Neurospora crassa OR74A: one gene and its partners. The protein of the gene in region 1 purifies or fractionates together with the protein of each later gene. This does not show direct contact. Links are inferred from orthologs where the notes say so. Each region holds a gene or a part of one and is shown in the gene's direction. Other genes may lie near its edges. The genes, in order: NCU08968, NCU07058 and NCU07956.

Region 1 (3,748 bases):
GTGTGGAAGTCGAGCCGACATCTCTATCGACGGAGGCACTTCGGGCTCCGTTGCAAGTTTTCCATCAGCCGTTGTTGTTGTTGTTGTTGGGGCTGAAGATGACCCTGCATTGCTACTCCCAGTCCACCCGCTGAAGAAAGAAGCTCGTTTCTTGGAAGACGCGTTTGTCCTTGGGCTTCGTGGACGGAATGCAAAGGGTCGTCTGGCATAGGCTTCGTGGTTCGTCTTGGGCGGCCTTGGAGGCTCAATAGGAAGGAATTTCAAGCCGGTCTGCATCCTCCAGTTCTCCTTGAAAAAGCCCGGTCTCTGAATGGTAACCTTGACATAGTATCGAATCTCGCACTGGCCTGGGAATCCGGTGAAACTGGGTGGGAGCGTCTTTGTGACATGGGAGTACATCAGCTGCTTGGTGCCGTCCATAACACGAATGCCACCGAGACCGAACAAGCCAGAACCCGACGCGATTCCACCGGCACCAGAAAGGCCTCCTAGTTTGGCCATGGCGACAGGATCACCACAAGCATTGTTGAAGGGAAACTTGAACTGGAAGGGGAATCTGTGTTGACCAGCGGCTAGGACATAGGGCTGTGGCAAGGCGTTGGTCTTCTCGTCGGGAAAGGCCTGGGTGACTTTGTATAGGATCTTGTGGTTCTCGTAGATAACATCGCCGGTTGGAGTGCGCTCCCTCTGAGCAATGCCGGTCCCTGAGCCATCGGCGGGTACTCCCAAGGCCGACTTGGCTTCACCCTCGAGTTTGACGATGATGCCTCCGATCTGTTCGGGACGACTGAGAGTGAGGACGACCTGGCCGCGGATAATATCCAGGTTTGTGTAGAACTCGGGAGGGTTTTCGAGGGCGATCCGTATCGACATGGTTGCGATTGATTATCGTCAACTTCAACAGAGAAATGAGGCTATCACCACATGAACCAAAACAACAAGGAATAACCAGTGGGTCACACGCCCAGGTATGAGCCAAGGAGAAGATGATGGAAAAGAATCTGTTATTTTTTTTTTACAATCCGATTTCCTCGAACCTTGGGAGGGGGTTGGTATTATAGGTAGGTAGATGAAAATTCAAAGCCACTGCCTGTCTGCTTCGATGTGATCAGCTTCACACGGCAGTTAGGTGATGACGGGGAAGACCCTCACTGAAAGACCGGAGGATTTGCCGTTTAAGTGCTGGGTAGCAATTTGAACCCGCCGCACATGTTTAGGGCGGCCTCCGCTGTTACGTCAGACGGGGAATCATCGGTCGGAAGTGGCCGAGGTGCCTGGATTCCACTGATGTTTCCAGTGGGCTGGGCCGCCGCCGCCGCCCGCATGGTGTCTCAATGGGGAAAGCGGTCAGCCTTTTGCTTATCTTATCAGCCACATGTCTGGCGGGGCATCTTTTTTTCTGCCGCCTGATCCACTCAAAAAAAAGATGTCGGCCGGGGTCCGGCGCAGGCACAAGGAAGCTCTCTTCAGCCTGCGGTACCTCTGTCCGTCTCACAATAGAGGTACATACTACAGCCATTGCGCGACTGCCGTGACTTGAGAACGAACCGCCCAAGTCTCGACCCGGACAGAGATCGACCGAAACGACGAAACCCTCCATCGATCCCCCAACCTTCTCGTCCGACCTCGATTCCGAGTCGTCTTCCTCCACACACCTACCCACGACAGCATTGACTAGACTACACCATGCCCAAGGCAGCGAAGGCGTCCAAGAAGTCGGGGGGCGGCGGCAACCCCTACGATCGCAAGGGGGGCGGCGGCGGCGGCAAGGCTACCAACACCAACATCTTCAAGTTCGACAAGGACTTTGGCCAGCATATCCTCAAGAACCCCGGTATCTCGGATGCCATTGTCGACAAGGCCTTCCTCAAGCCCACCGATGTCGTCGTCGAAGTCGGTCCCGGTACCGGCAACATCACGGTCCGCGCCCTTGAAAAGGCAAAGAAGGTCATCGCCATCGAGCTCGATCCTCGTATGGGTGCCGAAGTTACCAAGCGTGTCCAGGGCACTCCGCTAGCCAAGAAGCTCGAGGTCATTCTCGGCGATGTCATCAAGATGCCCGAAATGCCTCCATGCGACGCTCTCATCTCCAACACTCCCTACCAAATTTCCAGTCCGCTCATCTTCAAGATGTTGGCCATGCCCAACCCGCCCCGCGTCGCCGTACTCATGTTTCAAAGAGAATTCGCAAAGAGACTGGTGGCTCGGCCGGGTGATGCTCTCTACTCGAGATTGAGTGTCAATGTCAACTTCTGGGCCACATGCAAGCACATCATGAAGGTCGGCAAGCAGAACTTCAAGCCTCCTCCCAAGGTCGAGTCCGACGTCGTCAGAATTGAGCCCCTTGTTGGTTCGGCGCGCCCCAACATTGCTTTTGAGGAGTTCGACGGTCTCCTTCGCATTGCTTTCAACCGCAAGAACAAGACCCTTTATGCCGGCTTCAACCAGAAGGAGGTCCTCAACATGTGCGAGAGGGTACGTTTCTTCCCATGTGTTCACAAGCTCCAACTCTTACTGACCACTTCGTTTCCAGAACTACAAAGTCTACTGCACCCTCAACAACATCCCCATCGACGAGTCCCTCGCTTCCGCGGCTGACCTTGCTGCCGCCGGCGCCACCAACGATGCCATGGACGTCGAGATGGACGACGACAACGAAGACAATGATAACGAAGAGAACAACGACGATGACGAGGCTATGGAGGAGGATGAGGACGAGGACATGCCCGTCTTCTTCAAGGAGCAAAACGACGCCAACGCTAAGGACGCCAAGACACCTAGCAAGAACCCCAAGTCCAAGGTGGCCTTGATAGTCAAGGCCAAGTTGAACAAGGTGCTTACGAGCACCGGTTTGGCGGACAAGAGAGCTAGGCAGTGCGATCAGAACGATTTCCTCAAGCTGTTGCTTGGTACGTTTTCTTCCCCCTCGGCTTCCCTTTCTGATGGACAACCTCGCTAACACTCCTGACAGCGTTCCACGAGGAGGGTATTCACTTCTCTTAGACGTGTGTTATTATTGCGAACACGCACAGAAATCATCGGCGTACGGGGCGTTTTTTGGGGATTGGGAAAATGTCGTTTTTTAAAAATTCTTTGTTTTGTTCCATTTGTCGTGGAAATACCATTGATCTGGATGCTAGGATTTGCACAATCATAAAAGCCAATGAATCTGGCTGCCACTTTTGCCAGGAATCGAACCATAATCATCTTTCGTTTGGATTGCTTGAGCGTCGGATGTTGTTCTCTTCGTCACGTTGCTCAAACATTGCTGAGAAGCAATTGCTGACAATACCAGACCTACCGCATCGAGATGTCTTTTATAATAAAACCATGGATCGGGGGAGTGGTCAGTGACCTACGGGACCGAGTCCTTGGAGTAACAGGGAAACGGAAAGCACAGGAGAGCAAGCTGTTTTCCTACCCTACCTCTCTCAGTAACAGGCGCCGAGTGCGTCGTTACCAAGCCAGAAAGCGTGGAAGCCTTCTTTCGATAGCTTGTCAGTTGTTCAAAACCATTGAAGAGGGGCAAAGAAAAAGAAGAAGAACAAATGGTGACCGCAACTTATATTTTGGAAAGCACGACACTGGATACTAAAATGTGTCGCCGTTCTTGTCCTTCTCTCCTCCACTCCTCCATTCTTCGACCTCCATCCTCCGCACCCAACACCCATAGCCCAAAAACCACGAAGGTCTCAGCACCCATGCCATCGCCGGCGTCCCCATCGGGAGAAACACTCCAAACAGCCAT
Region 2 (3,748 bases), on another chromosome or scaffold:
AGCCCTAACCCTATTAAAATCCCCGATCTCGCTCCCTCAATAATCTAACAACTGAAACAAGACCCCCTTGAATCTCGGACAGGGACCATTGGACACCTTTGGGTATAGTCATATAAATCGGCCTTGTCTCTTCTAGAAGAAAAGAAATGTGACGGCGAGATCATCGTGACATCAAAATTCAAAGAACCAATCCGAAAGGGGAGATGTATCGTAGGCAGCTCTGAAGGCGAGTGTTCTTTGAATACGTATGGTTAGCTATCAGGCTGTATCTCAATGGTAGGAATGTCGAGACCATCAGCCTAGGTAGCAGCGTGGCGACTCCAAAGGCAGAGAACCTGGACATGTTCCAATTTCACATATGACCCAGAACAGTGGAGCTGCTAGGTGGTTGATTCCTGGTGGTCAGGTCATATAATGTACAGTGGAGAGTGGCTCGTGGTCCTTCGAACGGGTCTGTGTCGGCAGGCTTTCGGAATGTAATCAGAACTTGGGTATATATTGCGTTTGGTAGTTTGATAGTTGAGTGAGCCTCGCTCCATTTCCTCGCCGTGGTCTGGTATCGTAATGTCCTCCTCCTCCCTCCTTGAAAAAATGACGACCGTTTAGTCGAGACCGTTCTCCGACTTCCAGCGAGCAAGGTAAGTGGCGGGGTTCTTGGGGCCGAGCTTGTCGCCGGGGAACTGGTCGTGGACGGGGCGGATGGTCTTGGAGACGAAGGGGGTGAGCTTTGTTGTTGTTGGATCTTGTTAGCATAATTCTTTTTTATTCTCTTTTGTCCTCCATTCTCGGTCCCTCCCCTAGCACCAGATCCCCCAACACATCCCATTCCAACCCCAAACCCGGACGGAAATAGAGGACCACCCACCTTGAAACCGGTCAGGTCCGGGCACACATAGGTGCGGACCTTGGTGTAGTCGATCTTGTAGGTACCGTAGCTGGTGTGCGTACCCATGGAACCGGTGCGGTTACCCTTGTAGAAACCCTTGTTGACGTCCTTGGTGGTCAGGCGCAACTTGCGGTACTTGAGACCTTGGAGGATGCGAGTGGGCTGCATGGTGGGCTAGGAGGATTGCGCTTTGCGGGGCAACGACGACGGAGAATTGCTTTTTGTGGTCGGTGATCTGGGTGGTGGAAGCACCTCGCTGTGGTGAGGGTGGTTGAGGTGGGCGCAAGTGGGACGGAGACGGGATCCGCTTTAGAGTGTTGAAGATCCGGCGCACGCGACAGGAACGGAGACGGGACTCGGACTCGGACTCGGACTGGCGCTGGACAACACGGACGGCGACGGGCAACGGGCGACGGGCGACGGGGTTGGAATCGAGAAATCGCAAAGACGTCCGGGGCCGCGCCGGGTTGAGGTGGAGCCATTTCAGAAGTTTGGAGCTCAATTGAGCCAATGACGTGAGGCTGGGAGAAACAGGTACCCCTGTAGCCTGCTGCGGCCCCGCAAAATGGGTGGGTGTTGCGCCCTCACCGCCCGAAAATTATCGATTACAGAGGCGGCAGAAAAAGTTTCGGGGGAGCTTGTTCACTGGCAGAAAGTTGAAGGCTTGGTGGGAGTTGCCGTTGAAGGGACCTGACCACTTCGACCTCCAGGACCCGTGCAGGCAAAAGTTGGACATTGACATCCATCGATTCATTCCATCCAACCACTGGACTTCGTCGACAATCTCATCACCCAATTTTTGCTTGCTCGACCTCGAACTTAATTGACTGAATTACCTTCCGACTTCCAATCAGTCAATTCTCAAATACCAGCAAAATGCCCGGCCGTCAAGCCCACGGCAGGCCTCTAATGCCCAAGTCGGGCGGCGGAGGGCGTCCCAAGCACAGAGTCAACAACAAGACTGCCGATAGGAAATCCAGAAACAACGTCCTCGACGCCTTCGCTATTGCCGCCGAACAAGTCCCCCAAAAGAAAGCCAAGGGCGTCCGCACACGAGACCTCGACGAGCCCGAAGAGCGCCCCCAGAAGAGACAACGAGATGGCGACGACGAAGACGATGAGGACGGAGACGAGGATGAGGAAGATCTCGAGGACGCCAGGCCACAAAAGAAGAAGGCCAAAAACAGCGACGATTTCGAAGGCTTCTCCGACGGTGGCGAGGACAGCGATGGCGAGGAGTGGCACGTTGGTGTAGGCGCTGATGACGAAGATTCCGAACTCGACTCTGATGAGGCCTTTGGTGAGAGCGACGAGGAAAAGTTCGATGGCTATGCCTTCAGCGGGAGCAGCTCCAACAAGAAGGGCAAGAAGGCGAAGAAGGGTGGAAACGACAGTGATGAGGAGGAAGAGGACGAAGATGAGGACGATGACTTGGAGTCGCTCGGTTCCGACGCCATCGATCTCGCCACAGCACTGGATCAGTATGAAAGCAGCGAGGAGGAGGAGGGCGAAGAGGAGTCAGGATCGGAAGACGACGCGGACAGCGAATCGAGCGAAAGCGAAGACAGTGACGACGATATGGAAGACCCTTCCAAGCTCGACGACCTCCAAAAGATGATCTCCGGGTTTGCGGGCGACGACAACGACGACGAGGAGCAATCAGGCTCGAAACCAACAAACAAACTCAGTCTCTCAGATCTCGGCCTCCTTGGCGTCCAGGACCCCCACATGAAGAAGTCTCTCAAGCTCATGAACAAGGAGGAAAAGGCCGCCAAGCCTGGGCAATCCAAGAAGCTCGACATCCCCCTCGCAAAGAGGCAACAAGACAAGCTCCTCCGCTCCGCCGCCTACGAAAAGACCTCCGAGACGCTCGAGCGCTGGATCGACACAGTCAAGCACAACCGCCGTGCGGATCACCTGGTTTTCCCCCTCGCGCAAAATGCCCACGACGCCGGCCTCGACAGTCAAGAACTCCTTCCCGTGACCAAGGCCACGGCGGGTACCGAGCTCGAACAGACCATCTTGGCCATCATGGAGGAATCCGGCTTGGGACCCACTAACAAGCCCAAGAAGGAGGACCAGGATAACGTCGAGGAGATTGCCGCTCGCAAGGGTCTCTCGGCCGCTGAGATGCAAGAAATCACCCGTCAGAAGCGCCGCGAGCGTGAGCTGTTCTCGCGCGAGCAGGCCCGCCAGAAGCGCATCAAGAAGATCAAGTCCAAGGCGTACCGTCGCATTCATCGCAAGGAGCTGCTCCACGACGAGCAGGAGATGCATGATGCCATGGTTGAGGCGGGAGAGATTGATTCAGAAGAGGAGCGCGAGGCTCTGGACAGGAGGCGAGCCCTCGAGCGCGTCGGTACTCGTCACCGGGACAGCAAGTGGGCCAAGCTCGGCAAGAAGGCCGGTCGCGCAGTGTGGGACGACAACTTCCGCGCTGGGTTGACAGAGGCTGCTCGCCAGAAGGAGGAGCTGCGCCGCCGGATCGAGGGACGCAGAAAGGGCGAGGAGGATTCTGAAGACAGTGGTTCCGACGATTACTCTGCCGAGTCTGGCGATGAGAAGAAGAACAAGAAACGGTTGCTGGAACAGCTCGAGCACGCTGCTTCCTACGCGGATGGCGAGGTCGAGTCGGGGCTGATGCAGATGAAGTTCATGCAACGCGGCGAAGCCCAGAAGAGGAAGGAGAACGATGAGATGATTGCGCAGATTCGCCGAGACCTCGATTCCGACTACGACTCTGACGATGTCGAAGAGACGGACATCGGTCGGAGGCAGTTCGGTATGGGCAAGACGGAGATCATACTCCCCGGCCAGCAGGCTGCTCAGAAGAAGAAGGAGAAGAAGAACATCACAAACGAC
Region 3 (3,696 bases), on another chromosome or scaffold:
TGGCCAGCGTTTCCTGGGCAAACACCGTGTTGATAAAGAGGATGATGAGGGAGAAGAAGGTAGTTGTGCCAACAAGAATCCAGACCAAATGACCGAATAAGAAGAAGGACACAAACGCTCCCCATTCGTCGGCGTTCCAGGGGCGCATGCTCCTGATGGAGAACCACTTGAATCGGACCTTGAGACGCGACCAGAACCCGCTTGCTGCCGCCAGAAGCTCTTCTTTTGTGGGCCGATGAGGCAAATGGGGGAGGTGAGGAAGGTGAAGGTATTTAGACATGGAATCTGCTATTGATTCATGTGCGGGAGTCGGCTGGGAACCAGAACCGGAAGCCGTCTCGGTATTCGGTGGCTGCTGTGGTTGCTCGGACTTTTGCTGAGGAGAAATTGTAGAAGACTTGGCTTCGGCCTTGGTCTCGTCATGATCACCCTTGGTCTCTTTGCCCGAACTTTGGAATCGCTTTCCTGTCTTGCATAACGTTGTGGTCGTGGTGTTCTGTCGTATCCTTCGCAAGAGTAAAGCCTGCCGAGCCAAGTGGCCCATTTTTGCCTTTTGCGCGGCATTGCCGGATAGTGCGGATGCCTCTACCGTGCTCGTTGGAGAGGGGCTGGTGGTGAGCCCAAGGAGGAGTAGGCCTCCGGAGGTACAGCTTCGTAGGACATTATGGGATGGTTGTGACTGTTGATAGTGTAGTCTTTGCGATTTTGTTGCTGGGAAGAAAAAGCGACTTGCGGAAGAGGTAAATTGTCGCGTGCTCTGCTGCTGTCCGTATCGCTGATGGGACCCCAGCGATGTCGAGGGGCCAAGTCCAAGACTTTGACGACTCAGTAATGGCTGACAAGTTGGAAGCAGTATCGCGGCTGTGAAGAGATTCGAGGTGGTGTGAAGATCTCGTACTGAAGACCATAGCTGGCGGCCCAGCTGGGTCGTCGTAGCGCTAGTAGACATTGTTGAAATTCATACTGTCGACCGAGTAAGGGACCGACCTGTTCCTTTTTTTTTTCCTATGTTTTCAGCGACGATGGTGATGACGACAGCTCGGTGCCGTATCCATGGTCGGTCCTCGAGGCTGAAAATCAGATGTTGTTGCTTGGTGGTGGGCCGAGTCTAGAATGACATATGATGGTGCTCCTGCTCTGACCAAGAACCTGGAGTTTGAAAAAGCTGCCGGTCCAGGTCCCCGTCAAAAGTGCGTCAATGACGCTAACCTTGGGATTACAGGGATTCCTCGGTAACTGTTAGTGCATGGGCGTTGCGATTGGCAAGGGTCCTAGCCCCCATGCAGCCAATCGATAAGCTTCACTTGGGTACTCTTTTGTGGATCCACTGCTTTTTGTCAAGAATTTCCCCTCTGCGCTATCAAAATCGATAAACATCAAAATTCTAGAGACCGACGGCGCAAAAAGGCAGAACTTCGACTCCCAGATCTCCGCAATTCACGACTGTAACCCAGCATCCCGACACTTCTTTCGTCGCCCGTCACCAGTCTCTCCTCCACCCGATTTTCGAAAAATCTGCCATTACTCTTGGCCGGCGATTTCCCAAAATACTACCGACTTTAATCAACAAACAACCCGACTCGGCCCCTTGACCATCACCCACCGATAAACAACACATCTCGCCCAACATGCCTGCGCCAACAGCACTTCGTCAGCCTGTCAAGGCTCCCGCCGCCCAGATTCCTATCCAGACCGAGCAAGAGGACGAGCTCATTCTCGATGTCAACGAGGCCGTCAACCTCACCGATCCCAGCGCCGCCGCTCCCCCTTCCAATGACCAAGATGTGCAGATGGCTGTAGACGAGGAGGGCCGCCCCCGTTTCGCCCCCGGCCAGGACGTCCAGATCATTCGCCGCGCAGAGACCAGGAAAATTGGTATCCCGCCAAACCGCATGTCGGCCCTCAAGGCCAATTGGACCAAGATGTGAGACGGAAAACTACGGAAACATGTGTGAATGTTTGGGCAAGGAAGACTGACTGTTTTCCAATCAGCTACCCCCCACTTGTAGAGCACTGCAAGCTCCAGGTCCGCATGAACATCAAGGAGAAGCGCGTCGAGCTCCGCTCCAGCAGACACACCACCACCCCCGAATCCCTGCAGATGGGTGCCGATTTCGTCTCCGCCTTCGCCATGGGCTTCGACATTGACGACGCCATTGCCCTGCTCCGTCTCGATTCGCTCTATATCCAGTCCTTCGATGTCAAGGATGTCCGTCAGACCCTTGGCCCCGATGCTCTGGGACGTGCGATTGGTCGTATTGCAGGCAAGGACGGAAAGACCAAGTTTGCGATTGAGAATGGTACGTTCACCATTATGGGAGAATGGAAGAGATGACGCAGAAGTACTGACAAGATGTGAAAAGCCACAAAAACCAGAATCGTCCTCGCCGGCTCCCGCGTTCATATCCTCGGTGCCTTCGAGAACATTGGCATGGCCCGCGAGTCCGTCGTCTCCCTCATTCTCGGACACCAGCCCGGCAAGGTGTACAACAACCTCCGGATCATTGCCTCGAGGCAAAAGGAGAGATTCTAAGCTCTTTCTTTCACGAAAAACGGCAACAATGTGTTACACTTCTATTGCCGCTATTCTCACCTAATGAATGGTTCACGCACGGGGCTGCATGGTTCAGTCAACAAAAAATCGACGGTTTTCATCACATAAGGGGCGAAGGTGGCATTTCGGGAGCTACGCTTAAAAAGGGTTCTGGCGTTTAGGAGTTCATTATGCTTTTGCTTTGAGTTTGGAGAGTTTGAAATGGGCGATTCAGTCAGTCATGCTGGGGATATCTACGAAGGTGTGTAGAAGCGGGAGGAAGAGGACGGGATATTGGGGAGCTACCGCCTTGCGAATCTTTCAATGTGTGGTTATGATCTATACCCGGAGGACGAGAAGAGAAGACAATGAACAGAGATATTCACCAAAAGGCGGTTTAGTGCATATTGGCTGGCAAGGTCGATTATTGTGCAGAGAAAGTGATGTGGGAAACTGATCCAGTGCGCTCATTTGGTTGAGGTTCAATTCCATGGTGACGGCAAATCAAGCAAAATGTAAGGAGCTGATGTGATGGGCACCAATGTAGCCAGGTGAGCCACGATAGATTGGTTTCTTCAGGTCATACAAGTAGTAGTTATTTCCATCCATTCTCTTATCTCGCTTGTTCCGCATAAGTAAAGGTCTTGTTTGTTTTACAGTCCAGATGGCGAACCGTATATCGAAATAGCAGATAGAGCATAGTCAAACCCCTCGATATTCACCTACGATAGGTGGGATGAGACCATCTTAACCCGAGGAGGCTCTTTTTGTGCTCTGACTGACCAACTCCCATGACTCATCAAGCTTGTTGAAATAAAGTGAAGGCAAGACGTAGCAAAAAGTGATATACGTATGGGTATCTTCTGAAGAGCTAGGGTACCACCTCCGCACCATGAACCGTGTCCTGGAAGGACTTGCAACACTCCAAACTCCGTAATCATCTGTCACAACTTTAAGCAAAAACAATAATCCACTAGTCACCGCCGATTTCGTAGGCCTGACGAATAAGCCCGGTAAACTCCAACCCCATAACAGCTAAAGAAATGTGCGAATAACGTCTCCCAAAACCCAGTCTCCATGTTTATTCTCCAGGTCATACACTACTTGATGTAGACCTCAAACTGATTGGTCTCGTCCCTCTCAATGTCCATCGCCCCAACCAG

The links.
Region 2: the proteins of NCU08968 (region 1) and NCU07058 purify together in Saccharomyces cerevisiae (affinity purification with mass spectrometry; 3 studies listed by BioGRID). This does not show direct contact. The link is inferred for Neurospora crassa OR74A from reciprocal best matches to the Saccharomyces cerevisiae genes DIM1 and UTP14.
Region 3: the proteins of NCU08968 (region 1) and NCU07956 purify together in Saccharomyces cerevisiae (affinity purification with western blotting; 3 studies listed by BioGRID, with this or other methods). This does not show direct contact. The link is inferred for Neurospora crassa OR74A from reciprocal best matches to the Saccharomyces cerevisiae genes DIM1 and PNO1.

What each region holds. Positions count from the first base shown.
Region 1 is NC_026505.1:5,864,584-5,868,331, forward strand, and holds NCU08968 (dimethyladenosine transferase), read left to right. Parts: upstream 1-1,438; 5' UTR 1,439-1,686; coding exon 1,687-2,475; intron 2,476-2,533; coding exon 2,534-2,909; intron 2,910-2,971; coding exon 2,972-3,003; 3' UTR 3,004-3,209; downstream 3,210-3,748. Other genes in the region: NCU08967 (arrestin domain-containing protein), read right to left, coding at 1-873; NCU08969 (hypothetical protein), read right to left, coding at 3,563-3,748. UniProt on the Saccharomyces cerevisiae protein: Specifically dimethylates two adjacent adenosines in the loop of a conserved hairpin near the 3'-end of 18S rRNA in the 40S particle.
Region 2 is NC_026506.1:332,690-336,437, reverse strand, and holds the start of NCU07058 (small nucleolar ribonucleoprotein complex subunit Utp14), read left to right. Parts: upstream 1-1,505; 5' UTR 1,506-1,762; coding exon 1,763-3,748. Other genes in the region: NCU07057 (hypothetical protein), read right to left, coding at 603-725, 866-1,054. UniProt on the Saccharomyces cerevisiae protein: Involved in nucleolar processing of pre-18S ribosomal RNA.
Region 3 is NC_026504.1:1,226,246-1,229,941, reverse strand, and holds NCU07956 (pre-rRNA-processing protein PNO1), read left to right. Parts: upstream 1-1,377; 5' UTR 1,378-1,628; coding exon 1,629-1,924; intron 1,925-1,992; coding exon 1,993-2,300; intron 2,301-2,363; coding exon 2,364-2,533; 3' UTR 2,534-3,137; downstream 3,138-3,696. Other genes in the region: pod-1 (mitochondrion biogenesis protein), read right to left, coding at 1-949; NCU07957 (hypothetical protein), read right to left, coding at 3,634-3,696. UniProt on the Saccharomyces cerevisiae protein: Required for small ribosomal subunit (SSU) synthesis. Has a role in the processing of early nucleolar and late cytoplasmic pre-RNA species. Recruits DIM1 to nucleolar pre-RNAs.